Linked DNA regions of Caenorhabditis elegans. The protein of the gene in region 2 interacts with the protein of the main gene of each other region in a pairwise test. Each region holds a gene or a part of one and is shown on either strand. Other genes may lie near its edges. The genes, in order: cwc-15, cct-5 and ddr-2.

The links.
Region 1: the proteins of cct-5 (region 2) and cwc-15 interact in a two-hybrid assay, tested with the Caenorhabditis elegans proteins (one large-scale study listed by BioGRID).
Region 3: the proteins of cct-5 (region 2) and ddr-2 interact in a two-hybrid assay, tested with the Caenorhabditis elegans proteins (one large-scale study listed by BioGRID).

Annotation. Positions count from the first base shown.
Region 1 is NC_003283.11:16,019,807-16,026,367, reverse strand, and holds cwc-15 (Spliceosome-associated protein CWC15 homolog), read right to left. Parts: upstream 3,018-6,561; 5' UTR 3,014-3,017; coding exon 2,843-3,013; intron 2,796-2,842; coding exon 2,274-2,795; 3' UTR 2,175-2,273; downstream 1-2,174. Other genes in the region: T10C6.6 (Major facilitator superfamily (MFS) profile domain-containing protein), read right to left, coding at 179-205, 767-1,119, 1,177-1,429, 1,976-2,031; srx-44 (7TM GPCR serpentine receptor class x (Srx) domain-containing protein), read right to left, coding at 3,716-3,824, 3,870-4,009, 4,060-4,230, 4,371-4,509, 4,590-4,736, 4,795-4,958, 5,618-5,711, 5,995-5,999; srx-43 (Serpentine receptor class X-43), read right to left, coding at 6,506-6,561. UniProt on the Caenorhabditis elegans protein: Component of a spliceosomal complex that is required for activating pre-mRNA splicing.
Region 2 is NC_003281.10:4,504,118-4,512,012, reverse strand, and holds the start of cct-5 (T-complex protein 1 subunit epsilon), read left to right. Parts: upstream 1-3,898; 5' UTR 3,899-3,928; coding exon 3,929-4,036; intron 4,037-4,143; coding exon 4,144-4,369; intron 4,370-7,895. Other genes in the region: F25F2.1 (Protein kinase domain-containing protein), read right to left, coding at 31-174, 224-387, 435-662, 708-833, 1,068-1,195, 1,253-1,365, 1,419-1,524, 1,577-1,667 and 4 more.
Region 3 is NC_003284.9:3,312,073-3,319,886, reverse strand, and holds the start of ddr-2 (Discoidin domain-containing receptor tyrosine kinase B), read right to left. Parts: upstream 4,574-7,814; 5' UTR 4,541-4,573; coding exon 4,474-4,540; intron 4,434-4,473; exon of another isoform or gene 4,154-4,433; intron 2,832-4,153; exon of another isoform or gene 2,032-2,831; coding exon 1,926-2,031; intron 1,604-1,925; exon of another isoform or gene 1,284-1,603; intron 710-1,283; coding exon 612-709; intron 563-611; coding exon 429-562; intron 1-428. UniProt on the Caenorhabditis elegans protein: Tyrosine-protein kinase receptor which, together with ddr-1, is involved in axon guidance to establish the tracts for the ventral and dorsal nerve cords during nervous system development.

The DNA.
Region 1 (6,561 bases), on a different chromosome or scaffold from region 2:
TCCTCGAGGAGTACACGGTCAGTGTGAGGATTTCAATTGAAATTTGAAATTTCAAACGATAGTTTCGAAATCAGAGAGAAGTTGGCGGGCTCATGCATTTACGATTTTGAAACGTAAAAAATCCACACACGCACAAAACAAAAGAAACAGAACAACGAACGTTCGCGAATTTTCCCACCTGCTAGATCGTCGGAGAAGGCGAATCCTAGGAAAAGGAAAAATTTTGGTTTTTTGAAAAAAAAATCGTGTGTTTCTGTTAGATTTTTGTGGACTTGGCACGATTTCGTATTGTTTTTTTTTTCAAATTGCAAGCTTTGGAAGTGAAAAGATAGTTGCGTCGATTTACGCAGATCGTGTATTCCCCGAGGACGAGCTTGCATTTTTTTAAAGTAGAAGTCTTCGGCGGCAAAAACGCTCGATTTTGGATCATTGCCGTTGAATAAGAAGCGGTGTAACAGTCAAATTATCAACTTTTTGGAGATTTTCAGGTGAAAAGCTGTGTATTTACTGATTAAAAAACTTTAAAATTACATATTATGTAGTTTTTAGCAGAAATAATTATATTTTTCAAGAAGAAAAAGCGAAAATGTTAAAATTCAAGCATTTTTTGCCAAAAATTGTGTTATTTTCTGTGGTAAAAATTTGCATGTTTCTCCTCGAGGACTACACGAGCTGCGTAAATCGACACTTGGAGGTCTACACAAAATATTAGGGTGTTTACGACAGTACGAAATCGTGGCAAGACCTATTTCTTCTCAACTCTTACCTATTTGCCTCTACGCCATCCTCATGCTCTTCATTAGGCGATGAATCAATAGCCATGACGACTACAATTGCTCCGAGAGCAATGAGCACCGAATTGAACACAAAAGTGTACTGATAACCTAGTGGAAGCACCATCGCCGTGAAAATCGATCCGAAAATGTTGCCGACGGGCTGACACGCGGCCCAGACACCCATCACAAATCCGCGATTTCCTTTTCCGAACCAGTTGGCCATAATCGCGATTTCACTGGGCCATCCGCAGGCCTGAACAAGCCCAAACGCCACGTAGGTCATGATATAGTAGGGCGCATGGTAGAAATTGAACCATTTTGGGATGGCGCCGAAGAGAGTGAGCTGAAAATTGAATTTTAAACGAATTAGGAATTTAGAAGCCTAGCAGTTTGTACTCACCGTAACCGCAGAGCCAACCATTCCAGCTGCGACGACAAGCTTCGGATTCAGCCGATCGCCGAGCCAACCCCAAAAGAAGAGAGCCGCCGCGTAGGCCGCCATGAAAATCGCGTCGAGTGATCCCAAAAAGTGCTTGGCGTCGGCTTCATTGGTGAATAGTGGCGCGTGGCCGGACGAGTTGCTCAGCCAATCCGCTTTTATCGACGATTTCACTCCGGATAATGCTTTGCGACTCGCGTGGTACAGGCCGTAACTGAAATATTAAAAATTAAGGAAATTTTGAGAATTTGAGTATTTTAACTGTGCATAATTACGTATTGAGCGTGTAAAACAAGAATGGTTGGTGTTTTACGAAAAAAGTTGTTTTTTCTTTGAAGGCGAATGGATTTATTCGGCTGGGTCTCGCCAGGAAAATGACAACAGTATTTAATCTCGTTTTTTTCAATTTTGCGGCGGTCGTTTTTCTTATTTATCTATGAAATATTTGCTTTTCTCAGCAATTAAATAAAAAAATCAATTACATTGCTTGAAACCTGTTAAAATTGATGAAAACGAATTAAGGAGACAACCGGCGCTGGAAAACGAAAAAATGGTACCATAAACGTTCTTCTCGTGGCGAGACCCATCCGAATAAGCCCCTGTGCCTTTAAGTGGTTACGATTTTATTTTTATTGACTTTCTAGGATTTTTTCGAAGTTTTTCATGTTAAAATGCAAATATTTTTGTGGAAAAATTGTATTTTTGATACGAAAATCATCCGGTTTACTTGAAAATTACTTTAGAAATGTGAAAATCTTACCTGACAAACGTCACCACGAACACCATCACCTTCCGTGACGACATCGTCTGTACCATTTTGAAAAAAACTTGATTAATATTAAAATTGAGACTGCTCCGTATATATTGATAAGGTTGATAACTACTATTGATAAGGAAAAAGGACAAAAGTACTTGAAAAGTCGATACGGCCTACGAGCTCTGAAAGGGTACACACTACAAAATATCACGTTTATTGTTTTGTCGAGCCAGTGGCATATAATTGAGTGAAAATTGATGGAAAACAGTGAAAAATGGATGAATCATTAGACAAAAATCAATTATTTAATGTATTTGTCCATGAATTTCTTGTGGAATTCCGATCTGATAGCATCGTTGATGAATGTGACCTCCTTCTTTCTCTCCTCGACTCCTTTTGCACAATTCTTGAAGACCACGTCATCATCCCATCGTCGTTTCACAGTGAAATCGCCTCCAGAAGTGGAGGATCCGGCTGGAGTATCGTTGAGCAGTGGATTTCCGGCTAGAATATTCTCCATTCTTTGCTTCTCCTCCTTCTCCTTAATTTCCTCGTCTCTCGCCGCCTTCTCTTCTGCTCGTTCTTTCTTGATCTTCTCCAGCTCCGCCATCAACGCTGCAGTGTCATCCTCATCGGAGTCATCGTCGTCTGACGAATTCAGCTCGTCCACTGCTTCATCTGCATCCACAGACGCCGCTGACTCGGCAGCAATTTGATCCATTCGTTGGCGTTTCGAATGGCTTGAAGACGAAGAAGCAGAGTCACGAGCACGCTTCTCACGGATTGCGTTTCGCTCCTTGTCTTCCAATTCACGACGGAGATCCTGAAAATTATTTTATATTGCTTGAAAATCATTGATTTTTCGTTTACCTTCTTTCTCAAATCGGCTTCAGTCTCCTGTCCGGTCTGTCTGTACTTCATTTTGGTGTGAGATGGCATATCCTTCGACGAGTATTGATTCGAGAGCTTCGACAGATCTCCTTCACCACGAGCGGTTCCTCCGCGAGCTGGGTGAAAAGTTGGACGATGGGCCGTGGTCATTTTGCTGAAAAAATTACAATTTGTGAACGTTATTTCGAGAGAACAGAGGAAATATAAGATACTTTGTGCGAAAAGTAATAAATATGGAACGAAAATAAAATTTATGTTTGTTTAACTTGTTTGAATTTGAAATTTAAACTTTTTTTCCGGATCGGAACAAGAAATTGCTCGGAAGTATACAATTTTTCAATTTGAACGTAAAATAATCGTTTTTCTATTGCAATTTTTCATACAAACATGTGCAAGTTTAGTAATTTACATGAAAAACCATTAAAAAAGTAGAAAAAAACATTATTCTTATTTAAATCTATCGGAATTCGAAATTAAACCTTTGTCCCGATCTTCAGTGCTTTTAGCCTCAAAATTAACAATTTTGACACAGATTCTTCAGTAAAAAGTTTGCATAAACGATGTTTCACTTTTCAATTAACGAAAAAACAAGTAGAAAATGATAGAAAACGACGAGAAACTTTAAAAACATCGGGAAAAATTTATAAATTGATTTTCGCCAAATGGCCTAGCGGCGTCACTTAGTCCGCGGCCACGCGGCCACCACCACATTTCGGCGCGAGTTTTGAATATGAGTTTTCGCCAATTTGGTTTCGGGTGGAAATCGAATTTTAAACACACTTTCAGGGAATTTTCAAAAGAGAAACAAATAAAAAACGTTTATCTAACAAATTTTTAATAAAAATTGATTATTTATGAAGTCCTACTCAACACAACTGTCAAATTCTGTGATGCTCCTTCTCGGCGAATCAAACGAATAATCCATCGGCGATATTCTGCATTGAAAAAACATATTACTATTCTGAAAACTGAAAAATTGATATTGCTCGTGAAATATAGCACTAACGGTGCTAGGCAATTAGTTAAAGAAGACGAGACCGTAGTTGTCATAAAAATTTTCCAATCCAGCCTGTTGCCAGGCAAAAACGAATAACCGGAAACATACCAAACACCAAAAAACACCATAACAATTCCCTGAATTATCACCTAAAACAAGGAATTTGAATTTATTTTGCAAGAGCTCGTTTACAGCGCACCTGCATCGCAAAATTGATATCGCGTTGTTTATTCTCTTTACTTTGCCCTTTAAATATCGATTTTCGACAAGTGATAAGAATGATAAACGTGGAAATATCCAGAATTGTGATAATAAAGATAATCACGAACTGAACAGATAGGCTTAACAGTAGAAGTTTTGCTCCACATGTCTGGAAATGCTCAATCAAAATCACGCTCGGGGTCCTGTCACGCTTCAGCTACCGTAACCAATTTTTTGCCGTGTCGAGACCATTTGCACCAAGTACTGTAGCCGAAAAGTTTCGCTCGTGGCAAGACCCCGAAATCTCACCTCATTCCGCTGAGCTTCCATGAAAACCCACCCAAATTGGAAAAACGGGAAGGAACAATTATAAAAGAAGAAAAAATACGAATAAATTACGGGGGGAAGTGTCCAATTTATGATGATGTAAGTGAGTACGTAATTTTTGCTGAAAAACGTAATCTCCTCAGGCGACCTACGCCTACCGTGAGCCTACCAAGCAGGCAGGTAGGCATCCTATAAACATACCTAAAGATTTTTCTGTATCCAAATGGCATACTTGAAGCACAAAACCTGTTGAAAGCCATCAGAAAGTGGGTGCCCAGCATAATTGGCAAAATTGTCAGGGATATATTTCCGAAAATTGCAGAATTACTGACAATTAATATTGTGTTTCTAGAATGTTTCAATACGGTTGGAGATTATTTAGTGCGCAAAAAAAGTATAAACTAACAAAAAAATTCCTACGAAAAAGAAGAAAAATGTGATGGAAGTTGCCGCAAACTGGGAAAATGTTTCATTTAAAATTAGGGCTCCAAATACGGTACCCTTCATGTTCTTGATATTATATGCGCCGGTGACAACGACAGATTGAACAGAGACTCCGATGAAGCCGACCTGAAAATTAGAAATTTGTTAACTTTCTGCCAAAATTTGAGAATTTTTAGTCGAAGTTTGGAAATTTTCTGAAAATCTTTGGAAGATACGTATCTGCAGAACTTTGACAATGTTCTGCCAAACGTTTAAAATTGTTGCCAAACCTTGAAAAATGTTTGCCAAATTTTGGAAATGTTCTATAGAACTTTGTCTATTTGTTGGCAAACTTAAGAAACTTTTGTCCAGACTTTGACTATTTTCTCAGTCAAACTTTAACAATTTCCGATAAAACTTTGGAAATTTTCAACCAAAGTTTGGACATTTCTGTCAAACTTTAAAATGTTTTATTTCAAGTATTGGCAATTTTCTGTTAAATTTTGGATAATCCCTTTAGAACTTTGACTACCTTCTGTTACTTCTTGCAAAATATCGTCCCAGGCTTTGGAAAAACTTAGACATTTTTTACCGAACTTCAAAAAATTTCTGCCCAGAATTGAATCTATAAAAGTGAGATTTTGAAATTCCTCGAAAGGTACGTGACGCCACTGACTACAAACTACGAATGCTACACATTAGTAGCATAAGCTCTTATCTCTTTATTCATTGTACTGATAATAACTACTTTCAATATACTTCCTAAAAAGATTGTTCTTTAGAAAATGCCAAAAAAAGTTGCTCACCAAACTAATAATCATTCCGGCTTTAGTGTCATCTGGCCCAAACACATAATCTTCGTCGGCTTCAGTGAAATATGAGTCGTTTCGAAATGTTGTTCTGAAACATTTAAAAGCTAAAGGTTCACATTTTCAAAGGAAAAAAGACACTGCTGGAAATATTGCCATCTGAAGAACATCAAAATCTATGAAGGAACTTCCAAACTTCAAACATGCAATATTGTTTTAACATTTCCAAAAAGCCCAACTTTTCTCAAAATTGGCAAATTACCAAAACTTTGATTGAATTTTTTTTTAATTTTCAAATGTTTTTGGAGTATTCAGTTTTCATATTCATTAATATTAGACTAAAAAACAAAATTATTAAAACTTGATCAACTTACACCATAATCCAGTTTCGTGACGCTTCGCCTTGAAATACTTCCGTTGACTACCCAAAAATTGATTTTTTAACATGATTTTTTTGTGCTGTCAAGCAGGTGTTTTTGAAGTTTCTCAAAATAATTATAGACTTCTGGCTACAGACTCCGCCCTTTTTGAATTATGAGACTGCAATCCCGACATTACAGCTGTCGCTAACAATTAGTAGGTGTTCAAAAAGTTTGAGCTCGGAGAGAAGAGTGGTTTGATCTTATGTATAGACAAGTTTTTTGTTTTATTGAATAAATTAGTTGGAATGCCAAAAAAAAATAATTGAAAAATTTATACAGGATCTTTCAGAAAGAAATACGAGCAAATTACGGGGGAAGTGTCCAATTTATAATGACGTTAGTGAGCGAATAATATTTAGATATAATCCATATGTTTTCAACACCTATAGGTGCAGAAAAAGGGTTCGAGAGAATGTACTATACGACAGTTTGGGGTTCAGTTGGAGTTATTAGAACAGGAAGATTATGTATTATGAGCGGAAACCACTGTCACGATTCTCTTCTGAGCTGTCGGGACGT
Region 2 (7,895 bases):
CTAAAAATTTAATTAAAGCATGCTACAAACCTTGCTGTTTCTGAATTGGACTGTTCTTCTTGACATCTTCCTCATCTTCTATCACAGCCGTCTTATTCGTACTAACAGTCGTCGGTGAATTCGATGAAGAAACCTTCTTACGATTATCCACAACTTTTGTTACAACTGGAGCAACTGAAATTTTTCGTATACTATCTTTCAATTTTGAAAATTCAAAACCCACTAGTCGAAACGTAGACACTCTTATCTCTTCTATCATTTTGCAACTCCGTACTTCCGGTAGGTGTCGTCTGAACAGCAGTTGCTTCTGCTTCTGCAGATTCTCTAGATCTTGGCTGATTCTTGATTTTCTTTTCTCGAAGATTTCTAGTAGCTGAGCGATCGTACCTGGAAAGAATTGAATAAAATCTTATTAGAGTTATTTGAGTTGTTACCATTCTGGATTCCACTTTTCTGAAGAGCTGGTTTTGACACTGGCCAAACCTTCAACAAGTTTCTTCGATATTTCCGAATACGGAGATTCAGTTTTCAAGATCTGTCCAATGTCAAGAATCTGCGATGGAAGATTTGTGAGATTGTTTGGGAGCCGTGACATAAAATCCCGTTTGGCAAGAGCCACTTTGTCAATTCTGTTGTTGTCTTTCCATGGCAGAGGTTTCAGCCTGCAATCATTTAATGAAGATAATTTTTAAGTAAATGAAACTTACAGATCAACAATTACATAGAACCACGACTCTAAATCCTGTTGGAATGATGAATATGAGCTTGTGACGAGTAGATCATGAGCTTCCAGTGACAAGAATGGCAAGGTGACGCCGTCTGGTGGGCTGATCCTAGAAAATACAAATTTAGAGATTTTGAAAAGATAACATATATACAATGTGTTTTTTTAATGAAAATTGTATCACTGTGGATTCAAAGAAGCCCTAATAACTCAAATTTGGCAGCTCAAATATCTATCTTGTCCGCTAAAAATGGGTTATATTTCGACTACTTCAGCATAGGAACCGGCTTTAAAACGTGCCTCCTTTGTCATTGTACTGTCAAATACATTTAAAAAAGCATACGGAGTCTTCTTCCCAACTGATATTGCGTCTCCATAGTCTATCAAGTACCATTGATCCCGATTCTGATAGCTCAACGCTATATTCGTGGGCTTGACATCACGATGGACAAGCTGGCGACGGTGCATGAACTGAAAATATTTGATTCATAAATTTGATTCAATGTGAAAAGTATTCAGAAAGCTTACCTTCAAAGCCATAAAGATCTCCTGAGCAATATGAAATGCTGATTGAACACAGAAAGTGCCACCTCCCATCTGTTCTCGACACTTTTCTAAATTGACGTCAAAGATGGAAGTTACTGAAAATTAAATATTTTAGAACATTTAGTTAAAAATATTAATAAATCCCAACCATAAAATGGAACTCCTAGAATCTTTCCTTGATGTAGAATTGGTGGAACGCGTGGAGGTGGATCATTTCCTTGACCCCATAGTGTTTTCAGGACTGTTATCTCACGCTTAAATTAAAGAAATGTTCTATAACTGAAACCTATTGAGTTCAAAATTTACAGAAAGACGATAGACAATTTGATGGCTTGACAATTGCCTCAGAGCAGTTTTCATAATGAATCTTGAATTTCCAACCGAGACCACGTCGTTGCTGAAATTCAGAACTTAGAAATCAATTTCCAAACAAGAAAAACTTACTCGACAGCTGACTCATTTTGAACCATGTAAATTGCTCCAAAACGTCCCTCGTCGAACTTGGTCAAGATTTTGAGACGAGTTGTTGCCTTCTTATCATTATCGTCAAGTCTGAAAATTCATTGATATTTAGGCATATGGGTAGGCAGGCATGAACTGGTACGCAGGCAAGAATGAGCTAGGCAGGTTGGTAGGCATGAGGTAGGCCCTTCGGTGAGCAAACGTAAACACACAGGCAGCCATGGTGTATACACGAAGGTGGACCCGCAGGCCCGTTGGTAGGCATGAACTAGGCATTTAATAGATGCCTTCTAACCATAGAGTAGGCACACGGGTAGCCATAAAGTAGACGTCTAGGTAGGAATAAAGTAATTATGTAGGCATGGATGCCTTACGTAGGCATGCATAAGGTAGACACGCAGTTAGGCTTGATAAAGGCACAGGTAGGCACTTTGCGAGGCAACTCTTATTCCACTAACTTCTCAGCAATGACCACATGATCCGTCGATCTCAATTCAGCACGTGTCTTGAGGTAAGTGTTCAATGTTTTCACCGTCTCAATTGTGACTTTTGGATCGACATACATCTCTCGCCATTCGGCTTCCAGCACTTTCCGGGCAAAGTTCGGAGGATCTTCCGGTTTTCGGAACAGAGATCCCGCCATGCGATACTGAAAATGAGTACATAAATATCAAATTATAACCGAAAAAGTAGGCATAAAGGCGACCTACGCCTGCCTCATGGCTGCCACTTTCATCAAGCATTTGGAAGTAGGAAAGTATAATTCTGGGCATAGTTTGCTCTCTGCAACACCTTTTCCGAGTACGGTAGCTTCCCAGGTCCGCTAACACCATCAAGCATAACTTTACAGCATGCCTAAATAGGCATGTATTAGGCTCCATTTGCCGGCAAATTGCAGAAACACCGCAAAATGCCGTAGTTCTCGTGGTTTTTGCGTATTTTCGAAGGTACAGTAACCCTGAAACTGTATGATGCGCGATACTCCAATGCAACAGTCTGCCGAACGTGTAATAGTATCCAAAAAAGTTCAGAAATCCGGAATGTATACCTTCTTATCGATATTTGCAGCATCAACTGCTAATTTTGACTTGACTTTCTCGAGCTGTCTCTGACTTTCACCCGATTCTTCAGATTCTTCAGAAGTTGAAGAATCTCGTGCCTCTTTCTTCTTCTTTCTCTCCTTTTGCTTCTTTTTATCCTTCTTGTTCTTCTTTTCAAGACTATTCTTCTTCTGAGTCGATTTTTCTTTTTTCTTCTTATCCGCTTTCTTTTTCCGTTTATCGATTTTTTTAATTAAGCGATCCTGAACACCGGTATTCTCAGATATTCCTCAAGCCTTTTGATCTTACCATTCGTTTTTCTTATACTTCTCGAACGCTGGTTTTTGAAGCAAACACCAACTCGGACCACCGTAAAATTGAAACTGAATTTTATTTGTTTTTTTTTCAAAACCTTCCCCCCTTATCTCCACATTCAATCTATTTAGCACTCACGCTTTCAATACTTTCAATTAAAAAAGGCGAAAATTATTTGTTAAATAAATAAAATTTATTCTCGCTATAGTGTTTAAACTTTAATTTAAATTTAACTATTTAAATTTGACTATTTAAATAATTTCAGACCCAATTCTTTCCCTTCACTGTTCAATTTAAATCGAGAATAGTGGCGCCGAATTTCTCTGCGACTACGGTCAAAAATTGCGGACTTGCCGCGTACACCATGACGCGCAATTGCACATGTGACATTTTTCTAGAAGATTTTCAATTTTTTTCGTCAAAAAACGTTCATTTCACCTCAGTTTTTTTAAGTTGGCTGATGAAATTATATCCAGAAATTTAAAATTCAAACCTATTTCCAGTTTCTGTCCGCTCTGCACTCAGATTTAGCATTTTAGGTCGATTTTCAGTGTTCTTGGTATCATTGCATTTTAAAATTCTTCGAGAAGATCCCGAATAACCGAACAGCTGCCAATGTTGCTATTCCAATTTTCTTTCGTTCATTTTATTCATTCCTCGAGAATATTCTGCGGGTTTGATATCGAGAACATTGTTTCGAAATGCTGAATTTCGTTTCTTTTTCTTATTTTTGAAAATCAATTCTCTTTCAACAACTTATACTTAAATAATTTTCTCTTAATTAAAATTTTTAACATGCTAATATTTTCAGTGTCTGTCAAGACGGAACTTGGATAAGAAAATGGCGCAGTCATCTGCGCAACTACTGTTCGATGAGAGCGGGCAACCGTTCATCGTTATGCGTGAGCAGGAGAACCAGAAGCGTATCACCGGAGTTGAAGCTGTGAAAGTATGTAATAATTATTTTTTTAACCGGAACATTTAGTTTCTAAATGTTATGTTTTCATGTTTGACAAGTCCTGAAGTTTGTTCTTAAAATTAACTTCATTATTTCAGAGTCATATTCTTGCCGCTCGTGCTGTGGCCAACACTCTTCGCACATCTCTCGGTCCACGTGGACTCGACAAGATGCTCGTTTCTCCAGACGGCGATGTCACCATCACCAACGACGGAGCCACTATCATGGAGAAAATGGATGTGCAACATCACGTTGCCAAGCTTATGGTTGAGCTCTCCAAGTCTCAAGATCACGAAATTGGAGACGGAACCACTGGTGTCGTTGGTGCGTTTTTTTTTTTGGCAGAATTCAGCGCGCACCTCGTAAAATTAGATAGCTTAAACTTATTATGATTATCATGTGAGAGTTGAATATATTTTAGTTTAGAAAACCTTTCCTAATATCAAGTAAATTCCTAGCGAAATTCTTTCCTCTGGTGATTCTCTATGAACATTTTTCGATTCATGTCTAGAAAATGTCCACATTTCTCCCTTTTCTTCGTCGTAACTAAACCGTGTTTGCTTTCCGATTTTTCCTTTTTTGGTCGCTGTCCTTCATTTTCTTCTGCTGTGTAGTTTCGTCTGCAGCATAGTTTAAAATTATTTCGGTTTAACGTTTGAAATTCACCTCAACTACGTAAACCATAATCTTGATAAACTTCGGAATAGCTTTGATAGTTGTAACAAGATTTTCATTTTAAAAAAGCAAAGAGTTGATGTTATTGTCTGAGCTTGTGGATACAGCCGGCAAATCGAAATTTTGATTGCAGGATTTTTTGTAAACGTCACCAGCAGCTGCATTTTAAAATGCCATTGAGAAGCAAATTCGTGAGCATTTAGAGTAAAAGAACTGAAATGTTCATTGATTTTTTCATAAAATGACCGTATTTTTATGATGACTATGAGAAGCGCACCTATTTGTTGACGTCATAAACCCGGAATAAGTCTGAATTTCGAGACAATCAGTCTGAGTCACTCGGCAAAATTGGTTATCGATAATTTTTCGTGCTGGTTATAAAAACGAACTCTGTACACATGAAATTCGAAGTGAAACGTGTTTCATCTGCAATCTTTTCTTTATCAGTATCACACATTAAATCGAAATACTTTCTATCGAAAATGTATATTTTGTTGTCACCCTCTGGTCATTCATGATAATTAATTTAAAAAAAAAAGAACCCTTAGCCGTTCCTTTAAAAGTTTGAAATGTTTGATCTATGAGAAAGTGCGCCTGCTCGTTGTCGATCGTTCTAACTAAACAATCCATTTGCTCTCCTTTTTCGCTGTGCCCGACGCTCCGACAAAATAAAAAACGAAAAGATTGCTCATTTTTCTGATGGTGTGAGCACACAAAAGCCAACAGTTGAATGGGAGGTCTGTCGATTCTCCATGTTCTTTGATTCTTCATTGTTTCTATCTGCACCTTTCTATGACGAAGAAATACACGATAAGCTATCTTTCTTTCATTTTTTCAAGTGAATGTTGACCTCCAGACCTTGGAGTCTTAACAATTCTCCGTTTGCACCATTTTTCTTACGTAACCATATGTTTGCGAAAAACGTGGGCAAATATGGTATCGTATGAATTGCATCGTTAAAAATTCCAGTTCTTATCATATTGTGTTTCTTTTTTGATAACGATTGATGTCGACCCGTCGATTTAGAGCGTCTTTATGGATTTTTGATATATTTTTTGTGTGAAATTTTGTCACTTCAAAGTTTGAATTGCCATAAAAAATTTATTTCGCAAAATTATGCGTCGGTGGAGAATTTCTAGTGTTTCTTATTCCAAAAATTGTGAGCCCTCATGCTTGAGCCACTTATGTCTTTCATAATTTTGATGCAATGTCGCTGTCCGATGTCGTCCAGCATTTTTCCTTCCATTTTTTTCCCGTTTCCTTCGATAAATAATTGAGTGGTTGCTGTGGGCGCGCGCTCCTGCGCGCTAACACTCATTCTCTCACAGCGTCTCTTTTTTCCTCTCCATTTTCTATTCCCTTATTTTATGTCCCATAACAAGTGTTTCGTTTTCCGTTGAGTCGTAAGAGACAGAAGAGACGATAATTAGATTGGTGTGACCGACATGCAAGTGTGCACGCTTCATCGCTCTCTCCATCTGAGCAACATTTTCCAGAAGAGAAACCGAGTCATTTTTGATGTGAGATGCTTAAATGCAAGACTGGTCAAATTCTCTCTTCACTCTATATCTTTGAATTTATGATTTGATGGAAAGAGATTGGTTATTCATAAGATTGTCAAGCTCATGTTTTTCCAGTGCTTTTGGATTATTTAGGCTTCTTTTTCCGAAAAATCTTTCCATAACGTTAATTTTTTCTAAGAGGTTTCAAAATTTTTTGAGGTAGTCAAACTTTGTTGACAGTGTCTAGTTTCGCGTTAAATTCCATCGAAATCAAGATATGTCCAAATAAATTAGGTGTTTGATTCTTTAGAAAATCTAATTTCTAGGTTGATGTTTGTGATATCATGTAATTCTAAGTTGGGGAGCGATATATAGTTTCGCTGGAAAAAAATAACCAAGCAGATTAGAAAATTTTCAGAAAATAGTGAAAATCACGAGGTCATTTGTTTTTTTTTTCTTATTGTTCTTCTGGTTCTGATCGTTGTCGCCTCTCCCTCTTTCAATCCATCATGCGGCGCCGATTGACAATTCTCAATTGTGTTTGTCACAACAAAAATTCAATTGTCGATTTTCCTTTTTTGCCTCTCCCCAACCTGAGGATCAAACGGTTGCTGAAAAGGTCGTCAGGGGCGACTGGTTTTTTCCCACATGTTTTACTCGTGTCATCATCAGATTATGCCCTCACTTGGCCTCGTTTTTCCGCGTAGAATCGGCAGAAAATCGATCGAATTAATAGAATCACGATTTTTTCTCTTCATTTTGTGTTTATCTATTTCTTCAGTAATTTATGATTTTATAATTTGGTTTCGGAAGTTACGGAAACAAAAATTCCGTTTTTTCCTGTCTCCGGTAAAATTTTACTCTTTCCCCTCAAAATGGCCTTCCAGGCTCTAAAGTATCTAATTTCCTGTGCTTTGAAAGGTGGGAAATGAGTAAAGGTCACATGCTAAAATGAAGTGGAGGGTAGCAATTCATTATTTTATACATTTTCTCTTTCCATGATACATTCGCTCTGCCCTCTTAGGCCACTTTGATCAGTCCCTCCCTCACGTTTAAAGTCAGCTGAATATGCCGCTTTTTGCCTCCTTTTCCTGCTACTCTCCGTTACTCGCGTTTTTCCTAGCTTCTCACATCGATTCTGGTCTCCAACACGAGCTCCACGCCACTGAGCTATCTTTTTTTGTGCTATGTGTCTCTTTTTTCTTTCTTTTTTTTCTTGCTCGCTGCTTCTTCTCATCTTGCCGTTATTGCCACTCTTCCTCTCTTTCTCTCACTTTTCAGTTACCAACCGATTTCGTCAGACACTCTGATTCTCTAACTAATCTATTCGGTCAGCACACTGTCTAAAGTTTGCAATGCTCTCCGGTTAACAAACTTTTAAGAACTTTTGCTCTCTGCTCCAAAATGACAAATAATTAAAGTTCATTTATTTAAATTTACTATACTTTGTGTTTTATCCCCAAGCTTGGAGAATAAATTTCAAACTTAATTCACATGACTGACATTTTTGAAAGTTTAATCTCCGAATTAAGTATAGGCTTCATTACAAATTGAAAACTTTGTGATTTTCAAAGATTAAAAGTGTAGAAATATATCAATGTTTGCAGTAAATGCATATCTTCCACATTTGAGCTCGAAAATAATATTAATTTTGTTCTTCAGATAAAAATTTC
Region 3 (7,814 bases), on a different chromosome or scaffold from region 2:
TAAAAAAAGAACGGAACAACGACACTTTTCCCATCAAAAAAATAACCAAGCACAGGATGTACATGGATAAAAATTTGAATCTCAATAGAATCTCATGATATCTCCGAAAACGGACACAACGAATTGTGGGGCAGAAGACCTTGTAATAAATCTCGAATAACGCGTTTTTGTATTGTATTCTATTCAAATCGTGTCCCGTCTTTCTTCCCCCCACCGTTGCTCGTATAGTGACAGTATGAATGGTGTGTCAAAATGGTGTGTCAAAAGTCATAGCTAGATTTCTATTGTTCTCTTCGCAAGGTTCTTTTTGTGATTCACATATCTCAGATATTTGGGGCTAATGGCGTTAAGCGCATAAATATAACGGTGCGCTTTCCAAAGAGTGCCGATACCATAATTAGCGGTCATTCTGAATGAAAAGGACGAACCTCTAGCTCAAAATCGTCTTTATAAGATGCCCATGCGTTTAGCGAAGGTCGCCAGTACTGAATTTTGAATGCGGTCGCATACTCCATTCCACGTCCGTCGTCAAATCGTCCCTGGGTCTCCACAGAAGTTATTACTGAAAAAATTGGGCTTTTTGTTAGAATTTTCTAGATTCTGCTCGAAACCTGTATCCACGGAAAACGAAATCTGCAACCATTCTTTGCTGAGAGAGTTTATTTGATTCTTCGGACACCAGGCACCACTTCCAGATTCTTGATGAGCTCTGAAAAAATTGAATTGGAATATTAAAATATAAAATTCATTCCCATGTGAAAACAATACATAACGATAAATGTTTAAATGTATTAAATTTGAGACTTGTAGGTAGACAAAAAACATTCCTATGGTGCTTCCAATCTTGTAATAAAACTTTTCAAAAAATATTGGAAATTTCATTTCAAGTCAAAAAGCGGTGAAAACTCAGTTTTCACCCATTTTTTGGACATCGTAAATCAAGAAAAAAATATGTTCCATTCAGTTTTATGTTTAATTTTATTTGGAAAATTCCTATCTCAAGACAGTAGGGGTTTATGCATGCGACAGTATTCACAATTAGAGGTTTTTAAAATAACCGTTTTTTACCGCTTTTTGACTGAAAATAAAAATATTCTACACAAAAAATAAGTTATTTGGATATTTTAGAAGATTAGGAATATTTCTCTACTGACCGTAGTTCACCTTTAAGTGATAAAAAGTATGTTATTTTATATTTATACTATTGTATATTGCAATTTCTCGTTGTGTGGCTCTCAATTTCCATTCCATCTTCCTTCTCCTCTCATTCTCCAGATGAGCTCCTAATCAAGATTTTATCTACGCAATGCAACACATTGCAATTAGGAAGTGAAGCAATGGAAAGCCCCCAGCACCGCATGCGGCCTGTCAAAACAATCAAACTAGATAAATCGCTTGTTGAGGCGTTAACGTATGCTACTGATGAAGCATCACGTTCCCCCGTCAGAAGCTTGTCCAAATTAGATGTGCCATGCCAATGCGCTCTCAATTTCAATTTCAATGAGTTTGGCGAACGCGTGAACTTGCAAAGAGCAGTAATCCCCCCTCTAACCATCTTGTAAAGCCGCCTTTGGGAACGCGTGAATTCTCCTGGGTGGGGTCACAACACTATACAAAACGATGTGAAAGCGGATACCGTAATTAGGGAAGAGACTAATTATTAGGCTAACACAATAGCTCTCTTCCTGTTGACAGTCAGCTCGCTATAATTAAGCAAGATGCCAACTAATTTTTTGTGTAGTGTATTTCAAATTTGAACGGTCCCCACAATTCAAATAACTCGTGAGAAAATGCTAAAAGGATTGGCAGAGAGAAAGTAATTCAAATTTTCTATGTTTCTATCAAGTCCGTGGAAATTTGCATTAAAGTTTCAAGGGATTCAAACGTAGTACGAATTTCAAATGAGTAGTTCCCAAACCACTTACCGAGCATGTTGAGGTCCAGTGCTTTGCAAGTCGAAACTCGAAGACGCCGAGATTTGCTCATCACGAATCTTTCGATTTGACATTCCCAATTGGTGACTGCATTCTCCTGAAACATAATTTATTAATTGGAAAAGAGTTGAAAGAGTTTAAGAGCACCCTATCATATTTCAGCCGCCTTTATTTTTTGGTTTAGTGTACTTATCATTGTATGCTTTGTCATGTAGCCCCGTTTGTTGACATTATGTATTCTCATCCTTTTTCCGACAATGCCTAATCTGATATGCGGTCAACAAGGCTACCGAGAGATGTGCCTAAAAAGAGCAAATAGGACCCGGGTCTGCTGGCATCCTCAATTGAATTTTTTGAGCTCACCAAATCAAACCAATGCTTTCTAATCATATGAGTTGCCGCGTACAACCACAATTTTCGCATGTTTCACGTCGAATTGAAAATCTAAATCTATTTCCAAAAAGGCGAAGACCTCCGCAGAATAATATTTTACGATTATCTTTGTTGCCAGCGGATAATTCCGGATAATTATACCTGTCTTTTACAACCCAAACAGCAGCACAATTTTTATGGTCACATTATGGATTTGCAAGAATTGAGTACCTGACGTCTGTGCGTCAAGACATAAATTAGCAATAAAAATGGAGATTGTGCACACGACCTTCTCGCGCACCAGGTTTATGTTGTAGGACACCACAAGCGATGATTTACAACCAGTAACTAGCAACACTCTCGAGACGTTTTATCATTCTGGTAGTGTAAGATAAACAATTGTTTTGTTATTTGTGAGGTTGAAAGGTGAGAAATACGATGACAAATGTTGTTGATATCCTCTTCTCCGAGTAGTGCTCTAATGGACCAGTGTTGTGACCTTTCGCACGTTCTCCAGGTCAGTTTCCATAGAAATTGCGCATGGCTACTAATCTCTGTGATGTGCGCCGCCATGTCAAGTTGCGCAATCTCGTTAATCATGCAAACGATAACAAAACGGATTACGATAATGCAACTGTCTTCTTCTTTTTTGGGTATTGGAAGAAAACACACACCTAATAAAAAACCTAAGAAATCGAAACAAAAAGCAAAAGCTTTTAGTTGAATGAGTCAGGTAGGTGTGCAAAATGTCAACCTGGCCAATCAAGTTGGCCACGCAATACATACAATTAAGTTTTTTTTACAGCGACATTTTCGGCTCTTTTTTATTTGATAGGCTCGACCAGATACTCGCCAGCAAGTTGTCAAAGAGTGTTTGGTATAAACTGTAAGCAATCGATCATTGTGGCACTTTGTGAGCAGGAACCTCTCGTCGGCATCTTTGTGCATTGCAACAGTTGCGCATCTCCGGAAGCGAGGGGAACCGGCCCGACAAAACTGTCACCCCCATCCGCTTTTGATTATATATTATCCCCCAAAATCTTACAAAACATTGTGGAGAAGCTGGCAGATTTCTGTGCATCTTGTTTTCAAAAACGAGAGAAATGATAAGGACGACTAAAAGAACAATGTTATGATGTGTTATTTAGCAATTGAACGACAAGCAGCTGTCATAGGAAAGACCCAAATGATGAGTTTTCGGGACCACAAGAAATTGGTTTTCGTTTTTCAACGACATTTTTTCCCACTAGTCTACTAACAAATCGAATCATCGTCATCATACACCCCTCTCAAAATATCAAAAATCTAGTGAAAGTAGCCCTCGGAGCAGCAACACTGTGTTGTGATTTATACGCATGTGAGTTGTGAGCATCGAAAATGAAAGGCAATAAATTGAATACTATATTCTACCTCCTGTCACCCAACACCCACACACACAAACACTTCTTTGTCACATTGCGCAATGCAAAGCTATTCAGATTTTACGCTCAATGCTCAAGAATACGGATCGATTGCGATTACGGCAATTACACATGCACCTGCCCCTAATCGGTGTCATCAATTTTCTGAAGAGGTTTAGTGACTTTTTGACTATTGCGAGGGGTCGAGATCTGGTTGATATTTGAAATAGCATTATTTTTATGCATTATTTTTATCTCGAGATTTTGATCATATTGTCATAGAAACAACCCGGCCTATAATTCATCACTATCCACTTGTGACCATCTTTATGTCACTGCAAGTGTCCGATTCAAAACTAACCCACTCCTTTTATGCCTTTTGATATCATCTCCTGCCGCTGACTATTCACAATTTCGCGCAAACTGATGGTATCTCAAAAAAAAGTTAGGTTGTCCCCAAAACGTTTTTTTCCGTTTGTCGGTTTCACCTTCTTAACTGCATACCCTTTTCATCATCATGTCGTTTCCTTTTGCCTCCCATAAATTCCGGCGTGTAAGCCACCAAAACGTGATGAGAGCTAATGGGCGAGGAGGAGAAGAGAAAAAAGTGTACTAGTTTAGGAGTTTAGAGTGCAACTGGTGACAAAAATATGATGCATTTCTAACAATCGTCCCCTCCTCTTTTCTTGGCCACTTTCCCAAAACGGACACTTTTTTGCAATATTGCCATATTTAGAAGAAGGAAAGTCAATTGACCGTACACTTACTTAATTCCAATGCGACTACTGTGTTGCTATGAAATGTGACACCGAATAGATACAGCAGCAACTTCATCCTGACATAGATGAGCGTCGGAGACTCTGAAAAAAGCCAAAAAAGCATATGAGGAAATTGAAAAAAGTGGTCAAAGTCTAGAAGGAACAACAACGTACGAAATTCAATTTGACAGGCCCAAAATGAAATAGAGAAGTGTGAAGAGGGCCTGGGGGCAGATGCTCAAATATCCGCTCTTTTGCGGGAAGCTATTCAGGAAGAGCGCGTTATTATACTCATCTCGGCGGCTTTCATATTTATATTAGAATATATGGAGTGAGAAGAAGAAAAAAGTTGGAATTAACTAGTAAGTTGCAAAAGCCGAAAGCAACGAGGTTGGTGGGTGTGAAAGTTGGAAAAGGAGAAGAGCAACAAAAAAAAATTGGAAGAAATGAAACATGGAAAACGGATAGATGGGGTCAATAGTTGAAGACCAAGAACAGATAAGCTTGTCAAGATGCGCGTGAAAAAAAAAATGCGAGAGGAAGCTAGAAAAATGTAGTTGGTGGTCTTGCTCTTTTTCTGGCGTGTTGTGCCTCCTTTTTCAATTTGCACACACCCTCTCATCAATTACCACTTCACTCAATTTCAATTTCAAGCTGCACTATATGTTAATTTAATGGATCGTACCGTGGTGGTTGATGGGAGCTGTTGCTCCTGACTATTCCCAGAAATTCAAAAGAGCAATTTATACCACCAATGACACTTTCGGTACTCTAAAAAATGGAGAAATGAAAAAGCGAACGTTGTACTCGCGGTAGATGAGGGTGTGAAGTAATGAGAAAACCAATTGGGCTTCTACGATGAATAGGTAGAGAATAGGTGTGAGGACCAACCGCAATATGAGTTTTTGGCAGATGACTTCTCTAGTAACACCGTGACTCAGAGCAAAGAAAATGGAAAAAAATTGGGAGAAGAAAAGAAACAAGTTTTGTAAGAAAGATATATATTAAAAATCATGTATAGAGTGAAGGCTGCTAAGAGATTGCATCAAGGAGAGGGACACATAGGAAACGTAAACCATATGTGTGGAAGAAAGAGAGTACTATGTACATGTGCTTCATTGCATTGCACATTAACCCATCAAGAAGCTGGAGAAAAAAGTTCGAAAGAAGACGATTCAGAAGCATTGAACTCACTCAAACTGTACAAAGCTATGGTTTTTGCACCAAGGAAAAGTGGGTGGCCAGAAAGTGGTGGGGGGGGGAAGAGGGCAGCCTTCGCGCAAGCATAGCAATGAAGAATAGAGGGGCGGAGTCTTGGCGGGAGGGGTGGCGGTCTGTGTGGATCGGCGGTGGTGGTACCTCATCAGAAGCGAAAAGACAGGTGTTGAAGAGGAAGTAGCGAATGTTCTGTAAATTGAACAGTGTCTTGAAAGTTTTATCGCTTTTCAATGAGAACATCCCTGCCCAAGCATCCAAGACAGATGTTCTACGATCAGAAGAAATGGGTATTAAAAAATTGGAGGAGGACGACGAAAAATTAACTGCCTGAGGCAGGTTCAGTGGGAATTAGTACCTCTGAGAAGTATAGCATTTAAAAAACGAAAAACGAAAATATAAGATCCCTAGTGGGAACAAGATTCTTAGGAAGTCATTTTTAAATAGGAATCGTAAATTTGAAAAAGAGGTCTAGAATTTCTAAATTCTAAAATCAAATATTTTATCCGAAGATAGTGCCAAAATTACCAAATTCCATAATAAAACTTTTCAAAGCAATTTTTAAACATTTTTAATGACAGTCAAAAAGTGGCAATTATTGAGTTTTGCCTCTTTAAAAAAATACAGTACTGAAGTTTCAACAAAAAAATTAAATTCATTATAATGTAAGTACACTTAAAAATTCGAAAAACAACATTTTTTTTGATTCACGGCGTTCATAAAAAATGACCAAAACTAAACAATTATCACTTTTTTCAAACAAAATAACAATTTTTTAAGAAACTTCTTACTATGACTTTTTTCAGTATTTTTCTCCGGTGACACTTTTCCGGCATTTTAAATTTTTTTTACAACTAAATCAATAATGAAAATTGTGAGAAAACATTTCCTAACTAACAAAACTAAAAAATATACAGTTTCTCCAATCTATCTAAACTTTAAAAAAAAGTTATATCAGTTTTCTAATAGTGCACTTTTTTTGTGAAAATGCTCATTTTACATGAGTCATTGTTAGATTTAATGATTTTCTGATTTCACAAACAGGGCAGACAAAAAAAATTGATCAAAGTTTTCGTTCGACTCTCTGTTCAATTCCTTGCAGTAGCAGTCAATCACCACTGTTGACTCGTACCACCCGCCGGAAATTCTGACAAATCGACCGTTAAAGACCATTGAAATTGCGAACATACGAAACTGAACAGACACTAACCGAATAACATATCACGCTAGAAGTACGTTCATTTAAAAACGACCTTCCAGGAAGGCTGTGTGTAATTAGAGACAAAGAGTGGCCACGTTGAATGCGCGTCTCGAACGAAGAACGCAATGAGCATGACCATGGTAATGATTTCGCACTTTTATGAGACTATTTGAGAATTCGCACAAAAAGTGGTGAAACAGAAAGACGTAATGTAGGTGAGAAGGTGAAAAAGGTGAAAAGGCGAGAAATAAATGTGCGTGTGAGGTAGTGTAATGTGAAAAACGGAACGAGATCATGGCTACCGGAACAGGCAACCAAAAAAAAAGCGCCGACAGAATTCCTTGAACTTTAAATCTTCAAAGGCTTTTCTTTGTTTTCACGCTTTCGGCTTTTATTTTTCTATTCCTTTTATATGAAAATGTAACGCCGTGGTTCCTGGAAAGTTATGTAACACTAATGGAGGTCAAATGTTTATGAAAGAAATTATGGCGTGTTCTACAAATGCAAACAGTTCCTTTGTTACTTTCACCGCGTTTTGATAACAATTTCAAGTACACAGTAATAATGGGTTATAATTTGTAGTTGAAAAACAAACAGGAATACTTGCAACAACTGGGGGAAATGGCTTGTTTATTCGACTCATCAATCTTCTTTCATTTCCAGCAGAAAAGCTTAGAACAAAAAGAAAAAAATATACTCTTCAAGTGTGTGCCCTGCGCCGTGAGCAATCGATCAGCCGTTCTTCTGTTCTTTAACACCCGCCCGATCAGATCATTAATTAAAACGGCAGAACAACGAAAAAAAAGGGACTGGCGGCTGCTTGCGACCATTGCAAAAGCTTGACTCACAACCTCTTGAGATACTCCAGGAGCTCCAGGGTGAGCAGCTGATTCTTGAGCCGCTGGGTTTTCCAGTGCAATTTAGTGGAATTTGG